Anolis sagrei: one gene and its partners. The protein of the gene in region 4 interacts with the protein of the main gene of each other region in a pairwise test. Links are inferred from orthologs where the notes say so. Each region holds a gene or a part of one and is shown on either strand. Other genes may lie near its edges.

The links.
Region 1: the proteins of GCM2 (region 4) and RBPMS interact in binary tests that used the Homo sapiens proteins (3 or more experiments, as listed by UniProt). The link is inferred for Anolis sagrei from reciprocal best matches to the Homo sapiens genes GCM2 and RBPMS.
Region 2: the proteins of GCM2 (region 4) and heat shock transcription factor, Y-linked-like interact in binary tests that used the Homo sapiens proteins (3 or more experiments, as listed by UniProt). The link is inferred for Anolis sagrei from reciprocal best matches to the Homo sapiens genes GCM2 and HSFY2.
Region 3: the proteins of GCM2 (region 4) and FHL3 interact in binary tests that used the Homo sapiens proteins (3 or more experiments, as listed by UniProt). The link is inferred for Anolis sagrei from reciprocal best matches to the Homo sapiens genes GCM2 and FHL3.

What each region holds. Positions count from the first base shown.
Region 1 is NC_090022.1:150,009,344-150,016,749, forward strand, and holds the start of RBPMS (RNA-binding protein with multiple splicing), read left to right. Parts: upstream 1-4,387; 5' UTR 4,388-4,791; coding exon 4,792-4,854; intron 4,855-7,406.
Region 2 is NC_090030.1:36,551,568-36,559,404, reverse strand, and holds the start of heat shock transcription factor, Y-linked-like, read left to right. Parts: upstream 1-4,821; 5' UTR 4,822-5,069; coding exon 5,070-5,618; intron 5,619-7,837. Other genes in the region: TMEM185A (transmembrane protein 185A), read left to right, coding at 1,863-2,107.
Region 3 is NC_090034.1:86,441,299-86,448,619, forward strand, and holds the start of FHL3 (four and a half LIM domains protein 3), read right to left. Parts: upstream 3,009-7,321; 5' UTR 2,852-3,008; intron 109-2,851; exon of another isoform or gene 49-108; intron 1-48. UniProt on the Homo sapiens protein: Recruited by SOX15 to FOXK1 promoters where it acts as a transcriptional coactivator of FOXK1.
Region 4 is NC_090024.1:83,306,964-83,314,794, forward strand, and holds the start of GCM2 (chorion-specific transcription factor GCMb), read left to right. Parts: upstream 1-4,818; coding exon 4,819-4,908; intron 4,909-7,419; coding exon 7,420-7,672; intron 7,673-7,831. UniProt on the Homo sapiens protein: Transcription factor that binds specific sequences on gene promoters and activate their transcription. Through the regulation of gene transcription, may play a role in parathyroid gland development.

The DNA of each region.
Region 1 (7,406 bases), on a different chromosome or scaffold from region 4:
GGTGTGATATTTCTTTCCTCCTGAAAACTATTAAGATAAGGTTACCAAGCTTAAACGTTTAAATAGAACTGGGGGTGGCAAAACAGTAATGAAAGAGGAAATCTTGTCATGGGAAAAAGATATGAGACTAGCGCTGAATCTACACTGTAGAATTAATGCAGTTTGATACCACTTTAAGTTTTCATGGCTCAATGCTATTGAATCCTGGAAAGTGTAGTTTGTGAGGCAGCAGTACTCTCCAGCATAGAAGGCTAAAGCTCCTTGTAGAACTACAGTTCCCAAGATTCCATACAATTGTACACTGGTAGTTAGAGTGGTGTTAAAGTGCATGAATTCTGCCAGATGCACCCCAGGAATGGTTTTAGGGATCTCTCTCCATATATAGCTTCTCCTCTGCAATAAACTCACTTGAATTTCCCAAAAGTTTAGACTGGGAAGGAAGTGACTGGTTTCGCATGGTCTTTCAAATTGAGGACATACATTTCCAGATAGAAGGCAGTCCCAACAGGGGTTGGCTTGACATGCCTTCCTTTTGACACGTTTCTTCCTTTCGCCCTCCATTCGTGCCCCTTCAAATTCCACAGCACTGTTAGTTACAGCTGACCTCCAGTTAGACGTTCAAGAGCCAAAGCTTCCCAGATTCAGTGTTTATACCAAATTTTAAAGGTCATCTTTAAGCCCATCTTCAAATCTCTTTTGCTATCTACCTGACATTCCGTTTACGTTCTGAAACTAAGAGTAAAGTAGCAGCCTTGAGAGACGGTGATCGGGGATTCAGACAATGTGGTCGGTCCAGCAAATTTGATGGCGAAGGATCATGGCTTCAATGCTGGTGGTCTTTGCTTCTTCCAGAATACTGATGTTTGTACATCCATCTTCCCAAGAGATTTGCAGGATTTTTTGGAGGCAAAGCTGAGGCAATATTCTAGAAGTCAAGAGTGATGTTTGCAGATAGCTTTCGGGAGGAGTTGAAACTCCCCCCTCCCACCCTGCCCACATGACTTTTCAGATCAGTATCAACTGATCTGGTAGATTTTAAAAAGGCTCTGAAATTACCATCATTATGCAAAGGTTCTTCATGGTTTTCTTCTTCTTCTTTTTCGTGTCAGGAGCGACCTGAGAAACTGCAAGTTGCTTCTGGTGTGAGAGAATTGGCCGTCTGTAAGGACATTGCCCAGGAGACGCCTGGATGTTCTGATGTTTTTATCATCCTTGTGGGAGGCTTCTGTCATGACCCCGCATGGGGAGCTGGAGCTGACGGAGGGAGCTCATGAGTGCTCTCCCCAGATTTGAACCTGCGACCTGTTGATCTTCAGTCCTGCCAGCACAAGGGTTTAACTCACTGCACCACTGGGGACTTCACAGGTAATAGGTCCTGAATCTTTCTCCCTCTTGTCGGTCACAAAGGACAATAGTTTCCAAAATTGGCAGAAGTTTTTTTCTGTTTTTTTTTTCTGCTTTCTTCTTATTTCCTTTGTCGTGATGACGGTTTACGTCAAGATATTTTACCGTGAATTAGCAAGACATTTTCAGCCAAGCACAAGTTTTTCTGATGGTACTCTTCAGTTTCCACAGTTTTTACCTGCAATCCAGGTCAAATCCTCCTCCCTGTCCCGTGCCTTAGGCTTTGCCTGCTGGCTACCACATTTTGGCAGCTTCCACTATGTCAGCTATTACTGCTATTGCAATGTAAATTGGTAGAAAGGCAGGCAATGATAGTGTGAATCATCTAAATTTGGTTGAGAGAGTGCTTGTAGCTCTGGAGGAACTCTAATTGTTGCTTCTCATAGGCTTGGCATGGGGATTTAGTTAACCAGTAAAAATTCATGAGCAAACCAGTGTTTTGTTTTATTTTTGATCTGACAAATTTCAGGGAGGGTGTTGAATCCCTAAACTGCCCCCTTGGCTACAAGCTTGGACGGTCCATGTATCGCATATAATTGAGTTGTAAAGACCATAGTCTCATATCAATATATATCAATATATATCTATATCTATCTATCAATCATTATCAATACACATAATAAAAGTGAAAATCTGTATGTATGAGGCTGGGGTGCCCACTTTCACAGACAGGCTCCCGCCTCCATCAACAGCTATAACCCCCACCTATGAAGCGAACACCAAAGACCCTCCCTCACTGACATTGCAGGTTATAGCGATTGCCATAAACATGTCCAAAGAGCCCTGCCAATGTCCTCCACAAACACCACACTGCCCACCACCCAAGTGAAGGCTTTAATTCAGGGACAATTTCATCCTAGATTTTCTGTTTTTCCTCCGCCAAACACACCTCTTGGGGTGTCTGGGAATGATTTACGCCCCCTGGATTATCCTTTCTCCCTCTCTGAAAATCATGTTCCACAAAACATTTCCATGCGTTCATATCTTTTCCCTCCGCTTCATGTTTTCCTAGGCTAAAAGTGCCTCAACTTTCTCTTCCCCTCTCTTCCCCCTGCCAAGGGGGCCCCCAGCATCCCCATTGCTCCTTATAACATAGACAGTCAAAATCCTGTCTTGCCCCTATAGCTAAGGCTCTCTCTCTCTCTCTCTCTTTCACTCTGCACAGTCCCTCAACAACCCTTTTCTTCTTTCCTGGTCCATCTCCCTCCCCTCCCCAAATGCATGTGTGTGAATCTTTTAATGGCCCCTCTAACTGCCTTTAAATATGAGAAGGGCACTGTAGGGTCCAGGGGACCTCCCGGCACAGCTGAAATGAACCAGAAGACCACCTGACAAGGGACATCAGATCAGACTGGATCCAGGATCCATAATCCACTCCTGCCACTGTGGACAGCTACCTGGGTGGTGAGTCTGCGGGAGCTCTGCGGGTTTTCTCATGTGGCAGCTGGAACTCAGATGGCACAGGAGGATCCCAGAAGGGCAGGACCAGACCTCCAGCCACCCAGAAGAGACAGCCCCCCCTTGAGGCTGGGGAAGGCCATCACAGGAGAGGCCCCAGGAAGAGAAAACAGGATCCTACAGTGACCGCCATGAAGGAAGGATGTCCTGCCTTTGCCAGAGCTGTGCAAAGGGATGGCCCCAGGACCCCTGGAGCCCTCACTAGGTATGAAAGCTTTCCCCTCTCTCCCTACTAACCATCATAAATCAGTTAAAAACAATTAAAAACAGTAGCATAATAAACAGTCAATATAAATAAATAAAACATCTCATTAGCATCTCATAATAAAAATCAAGATCCAGTCTCATCATTCATTTGTTCCATATTCCTATGTTCGTTACACTGCCTATTCAAATGCCTGCTCAAACAACCAGGTCTTCAGTTATTTCCCAGTTGTCAATCATTCTTGTTGCCATAATCTTGGTTTTTTTACGTTTAGCTGCAACCCAGCTTTTGCGCTTTCTTCTTTCACCTTGATTAGAAGGCTCCTCAGCTCCTCCTCGCTTTCAGCCATGAAAGAGGTATCATCTGCATATCTAAGGTTGTTAATGTTTCTTCCAGCAGTTTTAACCCCAGCCTTGCATTCGTCAAGCCCGCACATGGCATTTTTTTCTTTTTGTCGTGTCAGGAGCAGGTTGAGAAACTGCAAGTTGCTTCTGGTGTGAGAGAATTGGCCATCTGCAAGGACGTTGCCCAGGGGACGCCTGGATGATTTGATGTTTTTATCATCCTTGTGGGAGTCTTCTCTCATGTCCCCGTATGAGGAGCTGGAGCTGATAGAGGGAGCTCATCCGCCTCTCCCCGGATTTGAACCTGCGAACTGTCTGTCTTCAGTCCTGCCGGCACAGGGGTTTAACCCACTGCGCCACCGCACATGGCATGAATGAATGGGAATGGAGATGTTGTTGTTCATTCGTTCAGTCGTCTCCGACTCTTCGTGACCTCATGGACCAGCCCACGCCAGAGCTCCCTGTCCGCCATCACCACCCCCAGCTCCTTCAAGGTCAGTCCAGTCACTTCAAGGATGCCATCCATCCACCTTGCCCTTGGTCGGCCTCTCTTCCTTTTGCCTTCCACTTTCCCCAGCATCATTCCCTTCTCTAGGCTTTGCTGTTTCCTCATGATGTGGCCAAAGTACTTCAGCTTTGTCTCTAGTATCCTTCCCTCCAGTGAGCAGTCAGGCTTTATTTCTTGAAGTATGGACTGGTTGGATCTTCTCACAGTCCAAGGCACTCTCAGCACTTTCCTCCAGCACCACAGCTCAAAAGCATCGATCTTCCTTCGCTCAGCCTTCCCTAAGGTCCAGCTCTCACATCCGTAGGTTACTACAGGGAATACCATGGCTTTGACTAGGCGGATCTTTGTTGCCAGTCTGATGTCTCTACTCTTTACTATTTTATGGAGACTGGACATTGCTCTCCTCCCAAGAAGGAAGCGTCTTCTGGAGATCGTGCTGCTTTATTGTGTAGACGTGCAGACGCCTGTCAAGCTTGGCAGGGGCAAGAGAGGGTAGCCAGCAGGCCAAGGCAGTGGAAGCCTCGACGGTTGAGCTTTGGCGCCGCCTCCTCCCCTCACGTGCCGCGGCGGGGGGTCTCGCGCTTCCCTGCCCTCCTTTCTCGCGCCGTCGAGGGCGCCGCCTCTCCGCCAATCAGAGCCGGGCGCGCGCGGAGACAGGGTGGGGTGGGGGGCTGCGCGCGCCCTCCTCTCTCCTCTCTTCTTCCCCTCAGCTCATTCCTTCTTCGCCTCAGAGGGAGACGGAGGTCTTATCTCGCTGCCTTCGCCGCCCCGCTTCCTCCCCGGAGCAGCCCCTGTATGCGGCTGGAAGAGCTGCGGGCGGCCAGGGCGAGTGCCCCAGCCCAGGAGAAGGAGGAGAGGGAGAGGAGGAGACCATGAACAGCGCGAAAGGCGAGCAGGAGCCCACTCCGCCGGAGCCCAGCCTGACCGAGGAAGAGGTACCCTTCCTGTGGGGAAAGTTGGAGGGCGCTTTCGGGGGCGTCTCTGTGGCTCGCGCAGCTCGGGAGGAGAGCGATTGCGCAACGCCGCTCCCGAAAGTTAAGGCTGGAAGGGAAGAAGGAAGGAAGGGAAGGAAAGAGCCAGGCGCCTCTGTTGTTGTTTCCCTACAAGGAAGGCGATGGCAGGGAGGGAGGGAAACAACAACAGAGGCGCCTGGCTCTTTCCTTCCCTTCCTTCCTTCTTCCCTTCCAGCCTTAACTTTCGGGAAACTTTTGTTTCCCTCCCTCCCTGCCATCGCCTTCCTTGTAGGGAAACAACAACAAGAAGGACGCCCGGTAATCGATAACGCATCCAGCACATTCTTTCCCTATTAGAATCCGATTTAGATCCAGGGGAAAAGGGTGGGAATCCAAAGCACAGGCTTTGAAAAGGGTGCGCCTCTACACTGTAGCATGAATGCGTATTGACACCGCTTGATCTGCTTCGTCTTTTTCATGGCGAAGGGGAGTTTGTGAAACTTTTTGTCGCGTCGTCCGGCGCCCTTCCACACAGCCCTATATGTATCCCAGAATATCAAGGCAGGAAATGCCACAGTAGCTGCTTTGAACTGGGTTATCTGAGTCCACACTCAGATAATGTGGGATTTTCTGCCTTGATATTCTGGGATATCCCCCCCCCCCCGTCACCCTGTATATATTTCTGTGCTTTGATGGCTTCATAGCAGTCGAATAGTTGGGTTGCTGTGAGTTTTCCGGCCTGTATGGCCATGTTCCAGAAGCATTCTCTCCTGACGTTTCGCCCACATCCATGGCAGGCATCCTTAGAGGGTTGTGAGTTGAATAGTTTGTGAATTTGTATTTGCTGAGCCTGTGGAAACCGATGGAAGTTCAACACTCAGGACCCTTCCACACAGCCATGTAACCCAGAATATCAAGGCAGAAAATCCCACAAGATCTGCTTTCAGCTGGGTTATCAGAGGGCCCTTCCACACAGCCATATAACCCAGAATATCAAGGCAGAAAACCCCACAAAATCTACTTTGGAACTGGGTTATCAGAGGGCTCTTCCACACAGCCATATCAAGGCAGAACATCCCACAAAATCTACTTTGGAACTGGGTTATCTGAGGGCCCTTCCACACAGCCCTGTAACCCAGAATATCAAGGCAGAAAACTCTACGATATCTACTTTGAACTGCATTATCTCAGTCTGCACTCAGATATTGTGGGATTTTCTGCCTTGATATTCTGGGGTATAGGGCTGTGTGGAAGGGCCCTGAGTCCACACTGACATATAACCCAATTCAAAGCTGATAATGTGGGATTTTATTCAGCTGTATAGTAGGGGCCTTGGACCACCTCTACTTCCATATAACCCAGTTTCTGAATCCAGATTATCTACTTTGGAGTGGATTATATGGCAGTATTAACTCGTATATATAATTCAGTTCAAAGCAGATAATCTCAATTCAGAAACAGGATTATATGGTGGTTTAGAGTGAGCCAGTAGGATCTGATGCGGAAGGTAGTTTGGGAGTGAAGTCACCTTTTCCTATAGGACCACATTGGAGGGATCAAGAAAGATAGCTATGCCAGGCATGGGCACTCTTGGGCCCTCCAGGGGGTTTGGACTACGATTCCCACTATTTCTAACAGCCTCAGGCCCTTTCCTTTTCCCTCTCAGCTGCTTGAGCCCAAAACTCAGCATAGCCTGGGCATGGGCAGATTTGGGCCCTCCTTTCCCCCTCAACTTAAGTGGCTGGGGGAAAAAAAGGAGGGCCCAAATTTGCCCATGCCTGGGCTATGCTGAGTTTTGGGACTCATTTTGGAGTATAGTGAAAGCAGCAGGATAACAAATCAGTTAAGAGTTGGTGCCAAACTGTGCTATCTTACTGGCACAAATAGCACTTTTATGGAACAACAGGGAGAAAAACATTTCCTGATGCTCCAGATTTGTCTTGCCTGTATTTTGGGGGGGGGGGGGGGGGGATGGGACCCTGATATGTAAGATTTATTCATTCTCGTCCCTTTGGGTAAGAGTGTAACGCTGTATTTCTTCAATACTAAAAAGCACTTTCCCCCCTATATAAACAGATCTAAAAATGGGATGTGCCTTAGAATTACAGGATATACAATCTCCAAGTTAGAAACATCCGACTTATATACGACTCATAGTTACAATTGGGGTTGAGACAACAGGAAGTGGAGAAATCTATCCATACGAAGGGATATCCACTCTTGTCATGGGGAAAAGTTGTCTCCACTGAAGCTTTATCACCAAAAATAACAACCAGAACAACTTTATTCTTATATCCCGCTACCATCTCCCCAAAGGGACTTTGGGGAGATGGTACAGGAAGCACAAAGTGCCTAAAAACAAAACATAAAAGTGTGAGCACAATATAAAACACAGTAAAATAAAACACATGCACATATAAAAACATCAACTCAGACTCAGTCAAACTGCGGTCCTCTAACCATGGCAGTAAATTGCTGTAAACACGGCCAAGCTGTAAACATTAGGAATCAAATAAGTGCCAGCTGCAGTAATG
Region 2 (7,837 bases), on a different chromosome or scaffold from region 4:
TTAGCTGTACCCACCACGCGTTACTGTGGCCAACCTTCCCTCTTTCTCTCCTTCTTTCTCCTTCCTTCACTTCCTCTTTCTTTCCTTCCTTCCCGTCTTTCCTTCTTCCTTCCTTCTCTATCTCTTTCCTTCCTCCCCACTTTTCTTTCTCTTCTGCTGCCTCTCTTTTCTTCCTTCTCTTTACTTCTTTACTTCCCCCCTCTTTCTCTACATCTTCCCCCTTCCTTCGCTCCCTCTTTCCTTCCTTCTTTCCCTTTTTTCTTTCCTTCTCTCCTTCCTTCTCTATCTCTTTCCTTCCTTCCTCCTTCTTCTTTCCCTCCCTCTTTCTCTTCTTTCTTCCTTCTCTACCTCTTTCCTTCCTTCTCTCTGCTTCCATGCTTCCTCCTCCCTTTCCTTCTTTCTTTCCCTCCCTCTTTCCCTACATCTTCCCCCTTCCTTCGCTCCCTCTTTCCTTCCTTCTTTCCCTTTTTTCTTTCCTTCCCTCTTTCTCTCCTTTCTTCCTTCTCCCTTTCCTTCATTCGTTCCTTCCCTCCCTCTTTCTTTTCTTTCTTTCTTTGTTTTTTCCTCCCCTTCCCTCCCTCTTTCTTCCCTTTTTTTGTATTGTCATTTAGCTTTTCGTCATTTAGCTTTTTGGGGCTTTTTAAGTCCCTTCTGCTGTTTTTTTTCAGTGTTTTTATGAGTGAAGGACATACATTGGGTTGTTAGGTGTCTTGTGTCCAAATTTGGTGTCAATTCGTCCAGTGGTTTTTGAGTTCTGTTAATCCCACAAATGAACATTACAGTTTTATTTATATAGATTACTAGCCATCCCCTGCCACGTGTTGCTGTGGCCCACTCTGGTGGTCATGGGGGTTCTGTGTGGGAGGTTTGGCCCAATTCTATCGTCTGGCGGGTTCAGAATGACCTGTGATTGTAGGTGAACTATAAATCCCAACTACAACTACAACTCCCAAATGTCAAGGTCTATTTCCCCCAAACTCCATCTGTGTTTATATTTGGGCATATTGAGTATTCGTGCCAAGTTTGGTCCAGATCCATCATTGTTTGAGTCCACAGTGCTCTCTAGATGTAGGTGAACTACAACTCCAAAACTCAAGGTCAATGCCTACCAAACCCTTCTAGTGTTTTCTGTTGGTCATGGGAGTTCTGTGTGCCAAATTTGGTTCAATTCCATCGTTGGTAGAGTCCAGAATGCTCTTTGATTATAGGTGAACTATAAATCCCAGCAACTACAACTCCCAAATGTCAAGGTTTATTTCCCCCAAACTCCATCTGTGTTTATTTTTGGGCATATTGAGTATTAGTGCTAAGTTTGGTCCAGATCCATCATTGTTTGAGTCCACAGTGCTCACTGGAGATAGGTGATACAATGCCCAAACTCAAGGTCAATGCCCTCCGAACCTTTCCAGTATTTTCTGTTGGTCATGGGAGTCCTGTGTCCCAAGTTTGGTTCCATTCCATTGTTGGTGGAGTCCAGAATGCTCTTTGATTATAGGTGAACTATAAATCCCAGCAACTACAACTCCCAAATGACAAAATCCTAATTTTTTGAGTGATGGTCACTCCTTGTGTTGTGAGACGTTTTGTTGCCAAATTTGGTGGGATTTTGTTTATTGGTTCTTTTGTTTTTAGGGAACTCATTATGCACAGAACATTTATATATATATAGATTAGCATAGCACAAGAGACAAGATGGTGGTGATGGGGGGGGGGGTCCCCAACTGGTGACACATGCAGGAGACAATTGGACGTGTTTTTTCCCTATGTGGGGTTGCAAGGCATTGTGGGGTTGGCCACTTTTTTCTGTGGATTGACACTCTCAATGACCTCCCCCTTTTTCTTGTTTTGGAAACGCGGCGCAGGGTGGTTTGGAATCCGCAAGGACTTCTGCCAATTCCTCCTGGAAATCTTCCCCTTCCTCCGAGAGTACGGCAACATTTCCTACGACCTGCACCACGAAGACAACGACGAGGCGGAAGAGACGCCCATCCCCGAACCTCCCAAAATCGCTCCGATGTTTCGGAAAAAGACGGGGGTGGTTATTACGCAGAGTCCTGGGAAGTACGTCATCCCGCCTCCCAAGCTCAACATCGACATGCCCGACTAAGTGTCCCCTCGGAGGCGCCTGCGTGGACTCTTCCCGTTGTGGAAACGACCGGGAACCAGCGGCCAGCGCGTTTTTATCTCATGCCTTTCTTTTGTTATGAATCGTGGTGTGTGCCTCAGTGGCTTGTAACGTGGAGATCACGGAGATTTGTCTTCAGGTCATTTCTGTTACCATGGCAGGAAAATCAATGAGAAGGCGACATGTAAGCTCAGGCTCAGGCGTGTCAAGGTCCTGATCAGAATTGGTGGAACTTTTGTCCCATGTCACCGTTTCCTTTCTTCTCATCTGTGTCCACAGTTCCATGTGGGCAAGACCGGCTGAAACCAGTGGCCTTCATGCACATGTCACTCTGGACTGGATTTCGGCGGACGAGGAGGGCTCCTCTTTGGGAACCTTGGATTCACGCTTGCCTGTATAGTATTTATATGAACCTTTGGCAATGTAATATATTTTTAAGAGTCTGTACAGTATAAATATGCAAAAGTATTTTTAAAAGGCTGCGTGAAGTGCATCATCGATTGTGAATGACGTGCTTTGTGTTCATCTGTTTCTGTTGGCGTCGCACAGCCATGTGATGTCCCACCCGCATGCTTGCCTTGTCCTCCTCGCACGGAACTAGGAGCGCCGTCTTCGAAACATGTCCGCAGGTAGGACTTGGAAGTTCCTCCCCTCTTAAGGGATCCAATTGCCTGGATAAAGGTATGTAAATTATTGTGTAAACGGCCACATTCTTTGTATTGTCGAGAGGGGAAGGAGGAGGAGGGGATGGTTTCCCACTTTTGTTAAAGTGCAAAACCCTGGGTAATAATACCTGTTTCTCATCCCCCCACTTTTGGCTGTTGAATAAAAAGTATCCTCCTGGAATCCTTGATGAGCCGACCCTTCTTTGTTCCCGAGTACGTCTTGCAATGCTTTCGTTTATTGGGAATATACTTACAATTCATGATGGAGTTTCGCTGGTTGGAATATCTATCTGTTTGGCAGGAAAATGGGAAATGCATTCCCTGTCATCCTTGGGTTCCAAATGACAGTGTTCAAATTCAGTCAAAACACTGTGCCATGCTTGGATCTACAATATATTGGCACAGCACTTACTGAAGTGAAGAAGGAAAACAGGTTGTGCCACAACTCTGGGAGCCCATGAAAAGGTCTCTTCAAAGGCTTTGAAGTTGGGTGTCCATGTTATTTCTCACACTAGCTGGACCTGCCACAGGTTGCTGTGGCCAACCTTCCCTCCCGCTTTCTTTTCTTTCTCTCCTTCCTTCCCTCCTCCTTTCTTTCTTTCTTTCTTTCTTTCCTTCCTTCCTTCCTTCCTTCCTTCCTTCCTTCCTTCCTTCCTTCCTTCCTTCCTTCCTTCCTCTCTCTTTCCTTCCTTTTCTTTTTTTCCCCTTCCTTCCTTCCCTCCTCCTTTCCTTCCTTTTTGTTTTTTCTCCTTCCTTCCCTCCTTCTTTCTTTCCCTTTCTTTGCACTCTACATGGGGCTGCCCTTGAAAACGGACTGGAAATTTCAACTGGTCCAGTGGGAGGTGGCCAGGTTGTTAACTGGTGCTCCTTACAGGGAGCGGTCAACCCTCCTGTTTAAGGAGCTCCATTGGCTGCCATTCATTTTCCGGACCCAATTCAAGGTGCAGGTGCTCACCTACAAATCCCTGAACGGTTTGGGACCCGCCTACCTACGCGACTGCATCTCTGTGTACGAACCCACACGTATCTCTTCGTTCATCTGGAGAGGCTCTACTTACGATCCCACCTCCATCGCAAGCGTGATTGGTGGGGATGAGGGATAGGGCCTTTTCGGTGGTGGCCCCTCGACTCTGGAACTCACTTCCTAAGGACATCAGGCATGCCCCAAGTCGAAAGGAGGAACTTGAAGATGTGGATGTTCCAGTGTGCCTTCCCGGAATAATGATCCCATAGCACTTTGTCCCTCCAAAGCACTTTACATTTTTAGATCTGCTCGTATGTCTTCCACAAACGCCACTATCACCTTTTCGCCCATGTTCCAGCATTATTTCCAATTTTAATTTTACACTTGGCCTTCCCAGTTTTAATTGTATGTTGTCTTATTGGTAATGTTGTATGTTTATTGCCTATGTTTTTATTTTATTTTTAATTGCTTGTACTGTTGTTATTGCTTGTATTGTTGTATTCGGGTACGGCCTCATGTAAGCCACACCAAGTCCCTTGGGGAGAAGGTAGCGGGGTACAAATAAAGATTATTATTATTATTATTATTATTGGCCTAATGTAAGCCGCACCGAGTCCCTTGGGGAGATGGTAAAATAAAGTGTTGTTGTTGTTGTTGTTGTTATTATTATTATTATTATTATTATTGGCCTCATGTAAGCCGCACCGAGTCCCTTGGGGAGATGGTAGTGGGGTACAAATGAAGATTATTATTATTATTATTATTATTATTATTATTATTATTATTATTGGCCTCATGTAAGCTGCACCGAGTCCCTTGGGGAGATGGTAGCGGGGTACAAATAAAGTGTTGTTGTTGTTGTTGTTGTTATTATTATTATTATTGGCCTCATGTAAGCCGCACCGAGTCCCTTGGGGAGATGGTAGCGGGGTACAAATAAAGTGTTATTATTATTACTATTATTAAGACTCATTTCGTAACCAATAACATGAGCAGGATTGGTCACTTCCTCATGCCTCGAGTTCGATTTCAAATGCAATGGGTCTGGACCATTGTTTGAAGAAGCCAATGCTTGACCCTCAGAGCCTCCTTGGTTGAGTGAGGGTGCGCCGAGTGATGTTCCCAGTGATGTTCCCCTCATTATGGCTTCATTTGCTAGGAAACCAGAGTTCGTTTTGTGATGTCACACCGACACAGGATGGGTCTGATTGTGACGTTCTGGAACTCTTGATTGTAGCTCCAGCTCCTGGCAGGCTGTCCTCCTTTTTAGTAGGCCTGATGCTGCCTTCTTGGCAAGGCTGGACTCAGAGCGCCCATGGCTGCAGCTGAGAAGAGCTACCTGAGCGACAAGGGCGACCAGGACCTGGACCTTCCTCCTGGCCAAGCCGAAGAGGACAGGATCCACTCCGCCATCTCCCTTTCCTCGACTCCGCTGCACGACAAGACGGCGGCTGGCGACTCGGCCTTGAGGTCCATGATCGAGGAGAATGCCTTCCAAGCGCTGAGCGACGCTCCCTGGCCAAAGAGACCCCGGCTCTCCCTCTGCGACGACGGCTCTCTCGAGGACAGCGACTTCCTCTCCCTCACCTTCCCCAAAAAGCTCTGGAAGATTGTGGAGAGCGAGCACTTCAAGTCCCTGTGGTGGGACGAGGACGGGACGTGCGTCGTGATCGACGAGGAGCTCTTCAAGAAAGAGGTCCTGGAGAGGAAGGGTCCCCTGCGCATTTTCGAAACGGATTGCATGAAGAGCTTCATCCGACAGCTCAACCTCTACGGCTTCAGCAAGATGAGGCAGAACTTCCAGAGATCGGCCTCCCTTGTGGAATTCTTGGCCGAAGAAAAGGCGGCCTACGCCTTCAGCAAGGTAAGGTCTGGCCGTGGCTTTGGGGACGGACCCCGGGCGCCTCGGGTTCCCCAAGGGCACGTCCACGCGCTCTCTCAAAATATAGATCTCCATCTCCTTCGAGGGCAGAAGAGGACACTCAAAGAGGTTCCGCTCCGAGTAGAAGACAACCCGAATCAATCCAACAAGTTCTGATCCTTCATGCCTACAGCCCCATCCATCCTGTTCCACCAAAACGAGGCCGGCATTTGCAAACAATGTCGAAGGCTTTCATGGCTGGAATCACTGGGTTGTTGTAGGTTGTATATGGCCATGTTCTAGAGGCATTTTCTCCTGACGTTTCGCCTGCATCTATGGCAAGCATCCTCAGAGGTAGTGAGGTCTGTTGGAACGAGGAAAAAGGATTTATATATCTGTGGAATGGTGACCAGGGTGGGACAAAGGACTCTTGTCTGCTGGAGCTAGGGGTGAATGTTTCAACTGACCACCTCGATTAGCATTTGAAGGTCTGGCGGTGCCTGGGGCAATCTTTTCTTGAGAGGTGATTAGATGTCCTTGTTTGTTTCCTCTCTGTAGTTTTGCTATTCTAATTTTAGAGTTTTTTTTAATACTGGGAGCCAGATTTTGTTGAAATTGTCCACATGCTTGTGGATTTCAATGGCTTCTCTGTGTAGTCTGACATGGTGGTTGTTGGTGTGCTCCAGCATTTCTGTGTTCTCCAATAATCTGCTGTGTCCAGGTTGGTTCCTCAGGTGCTCTGCTATGGCTGACTTCTCTGGTTGACGTAGTCTGCAGTGCTTTTCATGTTCCTTGATGTGTATGTTGGGCAATGCTGCTGCGTTTGGTGGTCCCTCTGGAGACTTCTTGTCCACAGCTGCATGGTACATGGTAGACTCCTGCAGAGGTGAGAGGATCCCTCTTGTCCTTTGCTGAACGGAGCATTGGTTGGATGTTCTTGGTGGGTCTGGAGATGGTTTGTAGGTTGTGTTTCCTCATCAGCTTCCCTCTGCGGTCAGTGGTTCCCTTGATGTCTGGCAGGAACACTTTCCCTCTGGGTGGGTCTCTGTCTTGACTCTCGTGGCTTCTTCTCGGTGGCCTTGCAGCTCTTCTGATGTCTGAGGTGGAGTCTCGCTTGGCCTGGAGAGCCCATCTGAGGTGGTTCAGTTCATCTTGGAGGAGGTGGGCTTCACAGATTCTTCTTGGCAGAATCTGCCAAGGCTTTAATGGGGCTTCTTTGTTGACTTGGGTGATGGTTGGAGTTTTTGTGTAGATCTCTATCTGTGTGTGTGGGTTTTCTGTAAACGGTGTGACCCAATTGTTGATCTGGTTTGCGGATGACTAGGACATCTAGAAAAGGCCGTCTTCCTCCATTTTCTTTTTCCATGGTGAACTGGATGTTTGGGTGGATGCTGTTGAGATGGTCCAGGAACCTGTTGAGTTCTTCTTCTCCATGACTCCAAATGGTGAAGGTGTCATCCACATCTCTGAACCATATGTTTGGGTGGATGCTGTTCAGATGGTCCAGGAACCTGTTGAGTTCTTCTTCTCCATGACTCCAAATGGTGAAGGTGTCATCCACATCTCTGAACCATATGTTTGGGTGGATGCTGTTCAGATGGTCCAGGAACCTGTTGAGTTCTTCTTCTCCATGACTCCAAATGGTGAAGGTGTCATCCACATCTCTGAACCATATGTTTGGGTGGATGCTGTTCAGATGGTCCAGGAACCTGTTGAGTTCTTCTTCTCCATGGCTCCAAATGGTGAAGGTGTCATCCACATCTCTGAACCATATGTTTGGGTGGATGCTGTTCAGATGGTCCAGGAACCTGTTGAGTTCTTCTCCTCCATGCCTCCAAATGGTGAAGGTGTCATCCACATCTCTGAACCATATGTTTGGGTGGATGCTGTTCAGATGGTCCAGGAACCTGTTGAGTTCTTCTTCTCCATGGCTCCAAATGGTGAAGGTGTCATCCACATCTCTGAACCATATGTTTGGGTGGATGCTGTTCAGATGGTCCAGGAACCTGTTGAGTTCTTCTTCTCCATGGCTCCAAATGGTGAAGGTGTCATCCACATCTCTGAACCATATGTTTGGGTGGATGCTGTTCAGATGGTCCAGGAACCTGTTGAGTTCTTCTTCTCCATGACTCCAAATGGTGAAGGTGTCATCCACATCTCTGAACCATATGTTTGGGTGGATGCTGTTCAGATGGTCCAGGAACCTGTTGAGTTCTTCTTCT
Region 3 (7,321 bases), on a different chromosome or scaffold from region 4:
CCCCCCCCAAAATCCTTGCTGACTCAGGAGGAGGATGGTATTGCTCACCTTTGGCCTGAGCTGCCTCTCCACTGAGTCACCGGGACAGACGGAGGCGAAGGCAGACAAAGGAAGGAAGGAAAAGGGGAAGGAAGAAAAAAAAGGAAGGGAGAAAGGAAGGGTCTGCTTCAGTCAGCTGCCTCCTCCCTTCTAGACATCTGGAAACTTGGGTGGTGGAGGGGGGAGAGGCCCTCCTTGTAAGAGCCCCTCTGGACTAAAGGCCCAGCCATTGTGGGGAGGGATGTGGGGAAGTGGGACAGGAGCCCCCCCCCCCTTTCACCCCCTAGTCTCCTGTTTCATTGCAAGCCAGAGTCATTCCCCGGCACCCACCCCGCCCTGGGTTTAGCACTGCTTTGTGCCTGGGCTGCATCCCATTCGGGGAGGACAGATAGCCTAGGGCAGTGGTTCTCAATTTTCCTAATGCCATGACCCCTTAATATAGTTCCTGATGTTGTGGTGACCGCCCAACCATAAAATTATTTGTGTTGCGACTTCATAACTGTAATTTTGCTACTGTTATGAATCGTCATGTAAATATCTGATATTAAGGATGTATTTTCATTCACTGGACCAAATTTGGCACAAATATCTGATATATCCAAATTTGAATACTGGTGGGGTTGCAGGCAGGCCCGTAGCCAGGATTTCGTTTCGGGGGGGGCTGAATTTTTTTTTCAGGGGGGGTTTCGGGGGGGGCTGAGTTTCGGGGGGGGGGGGGGCTGAGTCTGAGTGAAAGAGGGGCTAGCCTAGCAAACCTTTTGTATCGTTACCCCAATACCCCCATGCATATGGGATATATTGATTATGGTGATCAGATCATGATATGAATAAACATAACAGTTTAAATAATGCACCATTAAGGCCTTTTCGCGAACCACCATGAAAATTTCGGGGGGGGCTGAAGCCCCCCAAGCCCCCCCCCTGGCTACATGCCTGGTTGCAGGGGGATTGATTTTGTCATTTTGGAGTTATAGTTGCTGAGATTTATAGTTCACCTACCATCAAATAGTATTCTGAAGTCCACGAACGATGGAATTGAACCAATCTTGGCCCACATAACTCCCATGAACAACAGAAAATACTGGAAGGGTTTGATGGGCATCGACCTTGAGTTTTGGAGTTGTAGTTCACCTACGTCCAGAGAGCACTATGGACTCAAGCAAGGATGCATCTGGACCCAACTTGGCACAAATGCTCAATATACCCAAATGTGAACACTGGTGGAGTTTGGAGAAAATAGACCTTGACATTTGGGAGTTGTAGTTGCTGGGATTTATAGTTCACCTACAATCAGAGAGCATTCTGAACTCCACCAAGAATGGAATTGAACCAATCTTGGTACACAGAACCTCCATGACCTAGAGAAAATACTGGAAGGGTTTGGTGGCCATCGACCTTGAGTTTTGGAGTTGTAGTTCACCTCCATCCAGAGAGCACTGCGGACTCCAGCAAGGATGGATCTGGACCAAACTTGGCACAAGTGTTCGATATGCCCAAATGTGAATACTGGTGGAGTTTGGGGGAAATGGACCTTGACTTTTGGGAGTTGCAGTTGCTGATATGTATAGTTCACCTACAATCAAAGAGCATTCTGAACTCCGCCAATGATGAAATTGAACCAATCTTACACAGAACTCCCATGAACAACAGAAAATACTGGAAGGGTTTGGTGGGCACTGACCTTGAGTTTTGGAGTTGTAGTTCACCTCCATCCAGAGAGCACTGTGGACTCCAGCAAGGATGGATCTGGACCAAACTTGGCACAAGTGTTCGATATGCCCAAATGTGAACACTGGTAGAGTTTGGGGAAAATAGACCTTGACATTTGGGAGTTGCAGTTGCTGGGATTTATAGTTCACCTACAATCAAAGCATGGATATGGACCAAAGTTGGCACAAAAACTCAATATGCCCAAACGTGAACACTGGCGGAGTTTGCGGAAAATAGACCTTGACGTTTGGGAGTTGCAGTTGCTGGGATTTATAGTTCACCTACAATCAAAGCATGGATATGGACCAAAGTTGGCACGAAAACTCAATATGCCCAAACGTGACCACTGGCGGAGTTTGGGGAAAATAGACCTTGACATTTGGGAGCTGTAGTTGCTGGGATTGATAGTTCACCTACAATCAAAGCATGGATATGGACCAAAGTTGGCACGAAAACTCAATATGCCCAAACGTGAACACTGGCGGAGTTTGGGGAAGATAGACCTTGACGTTTGGGAGCTGTAGTTGCTGGGATTTACAGTTCAACAACAATCAAGGTGCATTCTGAACCTCACCAATGAGAGAATTGGGCCAAACTTTCGACCCAGAACCCCCGGGCCAACAAATACAAATACTGTGTTTCTTGATGGTCTTGGGCGACCCATCTGACACCCCCCTCACGACCCTCCCCGCAGGGGTCCCAACCCTCAGATTGAGAAAGGCTGGCCTTGGGACACCCTAGTCCTGTTGGGAGCCCCTCAGCCTCACAAGGGAAGTAGAGTTCATTATTATGATTAGGGGTGATGTTGATTTTTCTCCCTGGACGACTTCCTGAGGGGATGGGGGGGGGGGGCAAGGGCATTACGACCCCCAATGAAGCACCACATGCCTCTTTTAAAGGAAGGAAGGAAGGAAGGAAGGAAGGAAGGAAGGGAAAAGGAAAAGGAGGGAGGGAGCTGGCCCGCTCTCCCTCCGCCTGTTTCTCAATGAATGTCCTTTGTGGGGCGCTGGACTGAGACCCCCACCCACCCAGGACAAAGAGCCTCCCTTCCTCAAGGCTCCCCCCTTCCTGGACCCCTCTTCTTTCCCTCGCTTGGCCTCACCTGCTCCTCCTTCGGGGCTCCTTCTTCCCTTCCTTCTTTCGCTGCCTTCCTCCTCCCGTCCAGCGCCGGAGGACCGGGCCCGTCCTGCCCGCGCCTCTCCCTCCGTCCCTCCAAGGTGGAGCTCTTCCCCGCCCGGCTGGAAGGGAGGAGGTGGGAGGGGCGGAACCCCCAACTGAGCCCCGCCCACTCCTCTGCGGCCCCGCCCCCTTGAAGTCCCCGCCCCTCTCCTTCCCTCACCATCCCCTCTGTGTACAAGCCCCCAAATGAAGAGTTCTGCTTCTCCTCCCCCGAGAATTTCGATAGGCACCAAAGGGCGGTAGTAATTGGTGACTTCAACAGCCATAGCCACGTATGGGGCTATGCCCAAGAGGACAGAAATGGAGAGGCTGTCCTCTCCTGGTCTGAACTGCACAAACTATCACTCATCCATGATAGCAAGCTCCCCCCATCCTACAATAGCGGGAGATGGCACCGAGGCTATAACCCAGACCCAGAGGCAGCCCTAGGTAATTTTCAACGGTAAGCAAACAGTATTTTGGCGCCCCCCCCCACCCCCAACCAATCATTGATATATATTTTCTGTTTGTCGTGGGAGTTCTGTGTGCCATATTTGGTTCAATTCCATCATTGGTGGAGTTCAGAATGCTCTTTGATTGTAAGTGAACTATACATCCCAGTAACTACACTTGCCACACTCGCTCCCTTGCCTGGCCTGCTTTGGGTCCGGAGGCGTGCCTGAAGACCCCGGCGTGTGCACCAAAAGTCACCTCTTCTCCTGACTTTCTTCTCAGCCATTGGGACCGAGAGAGAGAGAGAGAGAGAGAGGTGGAGATGCCCACCTTTCCTGAAGGTAGGCGCAAAAACAAAGGAGGGAGCGGAGGTGGGAGATACTTCCAGCCAGAGGGGCTCTCTCTCTCTCTCTTGGTCCCAATGGCTGAAGAGAAAGTCAGGAGAAGAGGCGACTTTTGGTGCGCACGCTGGGGTCTTCAGACACCCCTCCGGACCCGAAGCGGGCCAGGTGCAGTGGCTCCGCCCCTTGGCCCACCCATGGATTGGGGAGAGGAGGCGGGTGGAGCGCCGGGGGATCAGGAAAGGGAGCTGGTCATGGGGAAGGGATCAAACGCGGAGAATGACTGAGTGCTGGCTCTGCTTGCGCACCCGGTGGCCGGGTGGAGCAGGAACGAGAGGGGCTAGGCAAGGCTCAAGGGCACGGCCCCTTTGGGAAGAGGATCGCCCGACAGCGAGGCAAGAAAGACGAGGCTCCCCCTGGACTGCTAGGGCTGTTGTGAGCTGAGGGGGCGCTCCTCAAGTGGCGGTCGAGGGGCATTTACAGAGGCACCTCTGCACCCCTGGCAAAAAAAGAGTGTTCTGCGACCGCTTACTTCGCGTAATGGACGAGCCGCCCCTGCCCAGACCTCTTATTTGTGAGCGACAGCATTGTACAGCACTGCACTAAATCAGTGGGACCACCAATTCCAAACACACAGCACCGACCAATAATATGCCAACTGTTCCCAACAATAAGGCCTCAGGAAGTTCGATTTAAACAAAGATACAACTTCAGAAAGGCAGATTGGACTAAATTCTCAGACATGTTAGATGACATGATCACATCGGCCGCGCCAATCCCTGAGGAATACGAGCATTTTATTGAAATCGGGAAAACCTGCTCACGGGCCTCGATACCGAGAGGCTGCAGAACCAACTACCTTCAGGCATTACTCCTGAAACAGCTGCCTTGTTGGAAAACTATTACAGACTCCACTTCGAAGGCCCATTTAGTGAGCAGACTCTTCAGGCAGTGCAGAACATTGTGTCCTCCATCTCTGAAGCCAAGAAAGAACATTGGATCAATCTGATCACAGAGGTCGACATGGGCAGGAGCAGCCAGAAGGCGTGGAGGTTGCTAAGATGGCTGAGCAACGACCCCTCACAAACTAATACCCATGCCAACATAAAGGCAGATCAGATAGCACACCAACTCTTGAAGAACGGGAAACCCAACCTTGCCACCAAAGTAGGAAAGAAACCAATAGCCAGACAACAAGAGATTGAGAACAACAACCTTCACGAACCCTTTACATCTACTGAATTGGACATGGCTCTCAATAAATGTAAGAATGGCAAAGCAGCTGGCTTGGATGATCTACAAATGGAACAAATCAAGAACTTTGGCCCAAAAGCAAAGTGCTGGTTACTGGAGCTGATGAACAACTGCACTGCATCCTGTCAGATCCCCAAAATCTGGAGGAAAGCAAGAGTCATTGCCATCCTGAAGCCAGGCAAAGACCGTAATGATCCAAAAAGCTACAGACCAAACTCCCTGCTGTGCCACCTCTACAAAGTTCTGGAGAGACTTATTCTGCATAGAATTATGGAAAAAATAGACCCCTGTCTGATCCCACAGCAAGCTGGCTTCAGGAAAGGCAAAAGCTGCACATCGCAAGTGCTGAACCTGACTCGGCACATAGAAGATGGCTTGGAAAAGCAGCAGACCACAGGAGCTGTCTTCATAGACCTGTCAGCGGCTTATGATACTGTGAACCACCGCCTCCTCCTGAGAAAAATGTATAATATCACAAAGGACTACCACCTCACCCGCCTCATAGGAAACCTGCTACAAAACAGGAGCTTTTTTGTTGAGTTCCAGGGCCAGAGAAGCAGATGGCGGAAACAGAAGAACGGCCTGCCTCAGGGGAGCGTGCTCGCTCCATCCATGTTCAACATCTACACAAATGACCAGCCACTGCCAGAAGGGACAGAGAATTTCATCTATGATGATGATCGTGCCATCACCGCCCATGCAGTGCGCTTTGAAATGGGAGTGTGCTTGCTCCATCAATGTTTAACATTGACACAAATGTCCAGCCTCTGACAGAAGGGACAGGGAGTTTCATCTATGCTGATGATTGTGCCATCACCGCCCAAGCAGGGAGCTTTGTAATGGGAGTGTGCTTCCTCCATCAATGTTTAACATTTACACAAATGAGGAGCCCCCGGTGGTGCAGTGGATTAAACCCCTGTGCCAGCAGGACTGAAGACCAACAGATCGCAGGTTTGAATCCAGGGAGAGCGTGGATGAGCTCCCTCTATCAGCTCCAGCTCCTCATGCAGAGACATAAGAAAAGCCTCCCACAAGTATGGTAAAAACATCACAATATCCGGGCGTCCCCTGGGCAACGTCCTTACAGACGGCCAATTCTCTCACACTAGAAGTGACTTGCAGTTTCTCAAATCACTCCTGACACGACAAAAAAAATTACACAAATGTCCAGCCTCTTCCAGAAGGGACAGCGAGTTTCATCTATGCTGATGATCGTGCCATCACTGCCCAAGCAGGGAGCTTTGAAATGGGAGTGTGCTTACTCCATCAATGTTTAACATTGACACAAATGATCAGCCATTGCCAGAATGGACAGTTAGTTTCATCTACATTGTCAGCAGCTTGTGACACTGTAAATCATCGTCTTCTCCTGAGAAAAACTTACACTATCACAAAGGACTACCACCTCACCCGCTTCATAGGAAATCTGCTACAAAACATGAACTTTTTTCTTGAATTCCAGGGCCAGAGAAGCAGATGGCGAAAACAGAAGAACGGCCTGCCTCAGGGAAGCGTGCTCACTCCATCAATGTTTAACATTGACACAAATGATCAGTCATTGCCAGAAGGGACAGAGAGTTTCATCTATGCTGACAATCATGCCATCACCACCCAAGCAGGGAGCTTGGAAATGCTTGAACAGAAGCTCTCTGAAGCTTTAGGTGCTCTTACTGCCTATTACAGGGGGAAATGGCTGATTCCTAATCCATCTAAAACACAGACATGTGCTTTTCACCTTAAGAACAGACAAGCATCTTGAATTCTGAGGATGATCTGGGAAGGAATCCCACTGGAGCATTGCAGCACACCAAAATACCTGGGAGTTACCCCGGATCGTTTCCCGACCTACAAGAAGCACTGCTTAAATATGAGGGTTAGATGCCTCCATCTTCATAATTCCTCAACAGATGGCAGTACTGGTATGTGGCAGGTCCTGGCTTGTTCAGTAGACTCTCCTCCACAGTTCCATTTTGGCGGGAAGCCTTAGCATTGAACGTTTGTGTTGTTAAAGTGCAAAGTATGGAACCCTGCACAGATGATTGGTCAATGCAACTTAAGCAACGTGCAGTCATTGAATTCTTGACAGCAGAAGATGTCACCCCAAAGGAGATTCATCAGAGAATGCAAGCTGTTCATGGTGATTGTGTTGATGTGAGTACTGTGTGTCATTGGGCGAGTAAGTTTAAAGATGTTGAGAGGAACATCTGACTTGCGTGACAAAGAGCTGGACGTCCTGTGACAGCAACCACCGAGTTTCCCAAGCAAAAGGTTGACAGATTGATTCAGGACGATTCACTCAGAGAGAAATTTCAAGCATAATCGACATTTCACAAGAATGTGTGGGTCACATTATTGCTTTGCTTGGC
Region 4 (7,831 bases):
GCAAATGTGAGTAGATCAATAGATACCACTCCGGCGGGAAGGTAATGGCGCTCCATGCAAGGCCTCATGATCTTGGAGGTGTTTATGGACAACTCCGGCTCTTCGGCTTAGAAATGGAGATGAGTACCACACCCCAGAGACAGACATGACTGGACTTAATGTCAGGGGACAACCTTTACCTTATAGACTGGGCCACAGTTTCCCCTTAGGAGAGCATAATTAAAAATGAGGCTCTGTCCATGCAAGTCTATTGATTAAAGATGTATCATTTCATAGATTTTTCCTTCCAGTCTTAAATATATCATCCTATTCAAAGTTAAGATGTTAGCCATGTGGAAGGGCCCAGACTGCCAGCTTCAAAGTCTGCAGGAGTTCACTTGAACGGATAACATATTTCCTGCTAAAACACGTAAGAACCATCTACCCAATTGGGTCTTTTTTTTTTTTGCTTCAAAATTTGCCTGCCAACAATACAATGTTGTGCTTTCCCAAGGAAAAGCATCTAGCAACAGAGAAACAATCTTCATTTTAATGCTTCAGTCTGATTAGGACTTGAGTGGGAATACCCCAAGGAATAATATTAATTATTATTATTATTATTATTATTATTATTATTATTATTTCTTCCCTGAGATTGATGCAGTTTGACACCACTTTGAACTGTTATGGCTCCATGCTATGCAACCCTGGGAGTTAAAGTTTGGTAAGGCACCAGAACTATTTTGGATAGAATGTGAAATAGTGTGCCTCCCAGGACTCCATAGAACTGAGCCATGGCAGTTGGTGTAAAACTGCATTAATTCTATAGTTTAGATGCCCCCTTAGCCCAGGAATTATCAGGGGCAGTTTAGCCAGTTCCTTCCTCAGAAATACTGTATAACCCATATCACTTGGTCAGTAGAGCTCCGACAGCTAGATCAGCTGTCACAATTTAAGACAAAAGTGAAGCCTTATCTCTTCTGGCAGGCCTACCCTGATGGTTTTAATGATGATTTTTAAATTTCCACATTATGTCTAATTTTTGCATGTGTATTTTGTGGAAATATGTTTTAGTATTAATATGTGTATTTTGCAGAGTATTTTTAAATGATTATGTGTTTTAGCAATATTATAACCTGCCATGAGCCAAGTGGTGTCAAACTGCATCAATCTCACAGTGTAGATGCATCTTCTAATACCTTAGGAAGTTAATGGGGTTGCCGTAAATCATCAGGCGACTTGAAGGCACAGACACACACACACATAAAGGGATGGTGTCATGATTTCAGAGAGTCTAACATGCAAAACTGTACATGCTCAAAGCATGTCTTAAACCTGGAGTCTCTGAAACAATCCATGGTGCATCTACACTCTAGAATTAAAGTAATTTGACACCACTTTAACTACCAGGGTTCAGAGTTACATAATGTATAATTTGGTGAGGTAACAGCATTCTTTGACAGGAGAAGCTAAAGAGTTTGTAAAGATTTGACTACAACTCCCCGGACCCCATAGACTTGAACCAGGGCAGGAATTATGCATTAATTTTAATATTCCTTATATTTACTGGAAATTGATAGAACTAGTAAAATGGAAATACATTATAACATTTGTCTTTGGGAGGGGAGATGTCAGTTGTAGTTTTTAAAAATGTTATAATGTATTTTTAAAAGGAAAGATACAGTGGTAAGATAGTTGTGGAAAGGGAGCATTAAGGGATTATATTTTTGAATTTGATGTCCTTTTTTTTTTACCTTAGTGCCTGTGATTTCATTTTATTCTTGGTGTTTTCTTTAAAAAAAATTCCCAACTGATTGCATTTAAGAAGCATTTTTTAAGTTTTTAAGTTTTTAAAAAAACTTCTAAAGTGCAGATGTACCCAGAGAGTGGGGGGAATGAAGCCTTACACCTCCCTTTTAGGGATGAAGAAAGGAGGAGCTCCCATCTCTACCCACGTGGTTTTCCCAAGGTGGAGATCTGGTATGTGGGAGGGTGAAGGTTGGGGCAGAAAAAGTGCTTTTCCTCACAGGCGTAATCCAGAAGGAGAGGCGAGATGGAAAGAGCATCTCCTGAATGATTTCAGCACCTAAGGCAGTGGACAGAGGCCAGGAATAAATCATACAAATAAGGCCCAGCAAGCAAGTCCTTGTAGCTTTCTCTACAAAGGTAAGTCCCATTGTGCCCTTTGCTACTTCCAAGTTCTTTCTTGCTTTTTCATTTGCTTAATGATTTAGATGAAGGTTTAGAGGGCATACTTATCAAGTTTGCAGATGATATCAAATTAGGAGGGATAGCTAGTACTCCAGAGGACAGGATCAGAATTCGAAACGACCTTAAGAGATTAGAGAGCTGGGCCAAAACTAACAACATGAATTTCAACAAAGACAAATGTAGGATGCTACACTTAGGCAGAAAAAAATGAAATACACAGGTACAGGATGGGTGACACCTGGCTCTACAACAGTCCATGTGAAAAAGATCTTGGAATCTTAGTAGACCAAAAGTTGAACATGAGTAAGCAATGTGATGCAGCAGTTTAAAAAGCCAATGAGATGTTGGACTGCATCAAAAGGAGTATTGTTTCTAGATCAAGGCAAGTCATGGTGCCTTTCTATTCTGATTTGGCCAGACCTCACCTGGAATACTGTGACCAATTCTGAGCACCACAATTCAAGAAAGGCATTAACAAGCTGGAACATGTCAAGAGGAGGGCAACTAAAATGATCAAAGGTTTGGAGACCATGCCCTATGAGGAGCATCTTAAAAAGCTGGGTATGTTTAGCCCACAGAAGAGAAGGTTGAGACATGATAGCCATGTATAAATATATGAAAAGATGTCATAAAGAAGAGAGAACAGGCTTATTTTCTGCTGCTCTGGAAACTAGACTCAGAGCGATGGGCTCAAATTACAGGAAAGGAGATTCTACCTAAATATTAGTGAAAAAAATCCTGACTGTAAGAGGTGTATAACAGTGGAACTCTCTGTCTCATAATCTAGTGGAAGCTCCTTCCTTGGAGAGAAGGAGACTGGCCATTGTTAGGGATAGTTTGAATGTGCTTTTTCTGCATGGTAGGGGGTTGGATTAGATGGCCCATGTGGTCTCTTCCAACTCTAGGATTCTAGGAACTTCAGTCTCCTGTTGAATTATGGTGACCGCATAATTTTATGGGGTTTTCTTAGGCAAGGAATACTCAGAGTTGATTTGTCCAGTTCCTTCCTCTGAAATAGAGCCCACAGTACCTGGTATTCTTTGATAGTCTCGCATCCAAGTAGTAACCAGAGCTGACACTGCTTAGCTGCCAACACCAGGCAAGATCTGGTGCATTTGGACTACTATAATATGTTTTACATCAAGGGTTGCATCTACATTATAGAATAAATGCAGTTTAACACCATTTTAACAGCCATGACTCAATGTTATGGAGTCTTAGGATTTGTCGTTTGGTGAGGCACCAGCACCCTTTGGCAGAGAAGGCTAAAGACCTTGTAAAACTACAACTCTAGTGATTCTAATGCATTGAGCCATGGTGGCTACAGTGGTTCCAAACTGCATTCATTCTACAGTTTAGGTAAACCCAAATATTTCCTTTCTTTCAAGGATCTCAAATCTGCCTACACTGTTCTCTCCTATCCCACCTTTATCCTGGGAAGTATATTAGTGTGACTAATAATGACTGTCTTAAAATAATCCTGACTAAGTGAGCATTTGACCACCTTCATCATTGTCCAGTCATTCCTTTGCCCCAGCCTGGCCTTAGCAAATTTACTTTTGTCTCAGCCTCCTCTCTACTTGTAACGTAGGTAACTATGTACTGTCTCACAAGGCTACTTGCTAAGCTAATAAGGTACCAATGTGAGAGATCAAAATTTCTACAGCTGGTACCAAAAGTGAGCAAAATTAGCATGCATGCCTGCAATATATGTCCATTCAGGCAAGAATTTCATAGTTTTCCCTTACACATTGGATATTATCTGCATGTGACAAGTTAACACCACTATACCCTACAATCTCATAGGTTGAATACGATTGTTTTCCAGGGGTACAGTATTGTTTTCCAGGGGTAGAGTATTGGATCTAGAGACCTATTCTGGATCCACCTGGTCTTTCACAGTGAGGGCATATATTTCCAGATTGAAGATGGTTATGACAAGGGTTTGCTTGACGTGCCTTGCTCTTGGCACATTTCTCCCTTTCATTCTCTATTTGTACCTCTTCAAAATCCACAGCACTGCTGGTAAGAGCCTACCAGCAGCTGGAACACATAAATAGGGCTTCTCAGTTCTCAGTGCTTATTCCACATTGTTTTAGGTTAGCTTTAAACCCATCTTTAAATCTCTTTTGCTGTCTAGAAACCTTCCATTTTCCATTGTTGAGCTGAGAGGAAATAATTGCTTTGGGAGACAGTGATCAGGTATTTGGACAATGTGGCTGGCCCAGTGAAGTTGTTGATGGAGAAAAACAAGAGTTTTATAAACAAGCACCTTGGTATCCATATCAACCTCAACCTCCTCAGATACTCTGCTTCATTTAAAAAATGCTATGCTCACAGAGTAAATGTGTAGGTATACTTTTAAGAACCACGTGGAGAGATTTTGAGAATAGGTTCAAAAAAGTTAATTTTCCATGCCCTTAGTTATGCTAGAATTGGTAGTTTTTATACAGACATAGTGATGCGTTTAAAAAATAGTCCACTTGATGAGAAAAATGATATTCTAAGATTTTGACATCTAGAAATGACAGTGTAATTCTCACCTGGTAAGAAAGGCAAAGTAAATATTTGTTCTATTTGTTTGTTCGTTTTTTGCTGGTACCCTGTTCCTTTAGGTGATAAAGAAACATGGCAAAGGATCACTTTGAGAACTCTGACTATGTCTGTTCCTTTGGGATGAAGCTAACGTGGGACATCAATGACCCCAAGTTACCACAGGTAGTGGACAGCACAAAAGGTTTGGAAGTAAGGGGGTGACCTACCAATATGATTTTATGGGCCAGTTTTCTAAGGGCTTTTTATCAAAACATTGATCAGTTTCAGGTGGTTTTTTTGTGTGTATTTTTTTAGAATTTTACAAGTTTCCTCCCATACCAGTTCTGCCTCTGGTAGAAATATTTTTTCCTGTCTAAAAATGGATATAAATGTGTATTTTGTTATACTTGTATGGTACACGCATGTATGCATTTCTATTTAGTCCCCTAATTATTAATATGTGCTTGTTGTTGTTATTCATTTTTTTTTGCATTTTTAGCTATAAACATCAGCTTTGCTCAGTAATACTCAAGTTCTGAGCATACTTTATTCCTCTGAAATGCATTGCCAGTTTCATAAATGTGTGCATTTCTTGAAAAAGGTATGCTTTGTCTCAAAACTCGTTGCAGGAGACATGAAATTAACTTTAACTAAGCAGAATGCTTCTCTATTCCTATTTTTCACATTGCAAGATGAAGCACGTTTCAAACTAAATTCGTATCATTCAAATGATGATACCAACAAGTCATAGACTTGCAGTAATGGTATTTTATTCAGTATACATCCTTCCAGATACACTACATTGCTCATCTCACCCAGTGTTTTTAAACATTTTAATCTTTGCAACTGGCCCTGCCCATTGTGTCCAATTATTGTGGTTTTATATTGAATTGTGTGTTTACTCTGTATTGTTTTTTGTATTATTATTTTATTATATTTTATTGCTGTATTTTTTATGTTGTATATTTGCTTTGTTGAAATTGTTGGGCTTGGCCTCATGTAAGCCACCCCGAGTCACCTTGGGGAGATAGTAATAGGGTATAAATAAAGTTGTTGTTATTATTATTATTATTATTATTATTATTATTATTATTACTATTGATGGAGACCTTCTTACATTTTTATCATTTTAATCATAACACCTCTTCCATAAAAACAAAAGCAAAAAAGATGAAAAATAGTGATGTATGCATGTATATCTAAGGAGAGTGTTCTATTTACTGCTGTTTTTAAAGTATTTGACAATTAATCAATTCCTGCCAGAAGATGAGAGAATGAGGTGTAATGCTGTTTTATTAAAAGTAGCATTTTAAACTGGATATTGGCAAAGAGGGTTGGAAAATCATGTTGCTTATCACAAATATATTCACAAGAAAATGTCATTTCGGCATGGTGACATTTGCACAACTGCAAGCTCACAACAGATTTCTTGATTTTTTTTTCATGTCAGGAGTGACTTGAGAAACTGCAAGTCGCTTCTGGTGTGAGAGAATTTGGCCATTTGTAAGGACATTGCCCAGGGGATGCCTGGATGTTTTACCATCCTGTGGGAGGTTTCCTTCATGATTCCACATGAGAAGCTGGAGCTGACAGATGGGAGCTCACCTCACTCCTCGTATTCAAACTGACGACTTTTCGGTCAGCAGTCCTGTCGGCACAAGGGTTTAACCTAGGCATCCTCAAACTGCACCCCTCCAGCTGTTTGGGCCTCCAACTCCCAGAAGCCCTAATGAGCTTGTTCAATTGTCAGGAATTAGGGGAGTCGAAGGCCCAAAGAGCTGGAGGGCTGCAGTTTGAGGATGCCTGGTTTAACTCATTGCACCACTGGGGGCTCCTGTTGATTTAAGTAAAATCTGTGAGTCGCCCCCGGGCTGAGAACAGCGGTATATAAGCAAAGTAAATAAATAAATAAATAAATAAATTATAGTAGTCTTGAGAAGGCATTGAGGAAAATGTGCCTTCAGGTTGCCTGTGAATGTATAGTGAACCCAATGGCCTAAATGCACTAAAGTCATCAGAACATTCTGATTTTGGAAGCTAAGCAAGGTCAGCACAGGTTACTATTGGATGGGAGACTGCCAATAAGTACCAAATGTTGTGAGCTACATTTCAGAGAAAGGACTGGGCAAAACCCATATGAAATTCATTGGGTCATAATACATCAAGACACATCAATTTTATAGGATTTTCTAAAACAAGGATTACTCTAAAGTCATTGTATGTTGCATTCCTTTGAAATACATCCTACTATCCCTGTGATATTCCTTTACTATACATTTCTTCCAAGTAACAACAAGGCCTGATCATGATTAGCTTTCAAGTTCAGAGGGCATCTGGTGCCTTAAAAAGTAATATATCAAAAATGTGCAACTTAAAATACATCTTGGCATTCTTTAGAAATGTGTGTGTGGAGTTCACTCAAGCAGCTTCTTAGATGCCAAATGATAAATTACTAATATGGAAAGACTACCTGTATGGCTGGATCTACATAATACAACGTAGTTCCAGCCTGTGTCTTGTGCTTAGAGAATTGAGGCATTGCATTGTACAATTAACATCTCTATTATGGATCTTGTGAAACCTGAATTCCGCATTGAATTTGGTCTCCTTCTTTAAAACTGAAATGTTATGTCACTATATTCTTTGCCTACTTTCTTCTCCTCTTTTTGTTCATATCTTTATCTCTGATGCCAGGAGCCCAAGCACTTTGATTCCTTCCAGGAGTGGCCAGATGGCTACCTGCGGTTCATTTATTCCAGTGAAGATAAAAATGCTCAGAGGCACCTCAGTGGCTGGGCCATGCGCAACACTAACAACCACAACTGCCAAATTCTCAAGAAGTCCTGCCTTGGTGTGGTGGTGTGTGCCAGGAATTGCACCCTTCTAGATGGGACCAAGCTGCAGCTTCGCCCCGCTATATGCGATAAAGCTCGTCAAAAGCAACAGAGTGAGAGCAAGGGGATAAAGCAATGTTTTTCACATGGGGTGTCTTTTCTTTTCTTTTCTTTTCTTTTCTTTTTTTGAGCTGACTCTATAACTGAATTCTTAATTACATATGGAAAAATATACTGAAATTTACAACACTTGAATTGATAATATGTACATG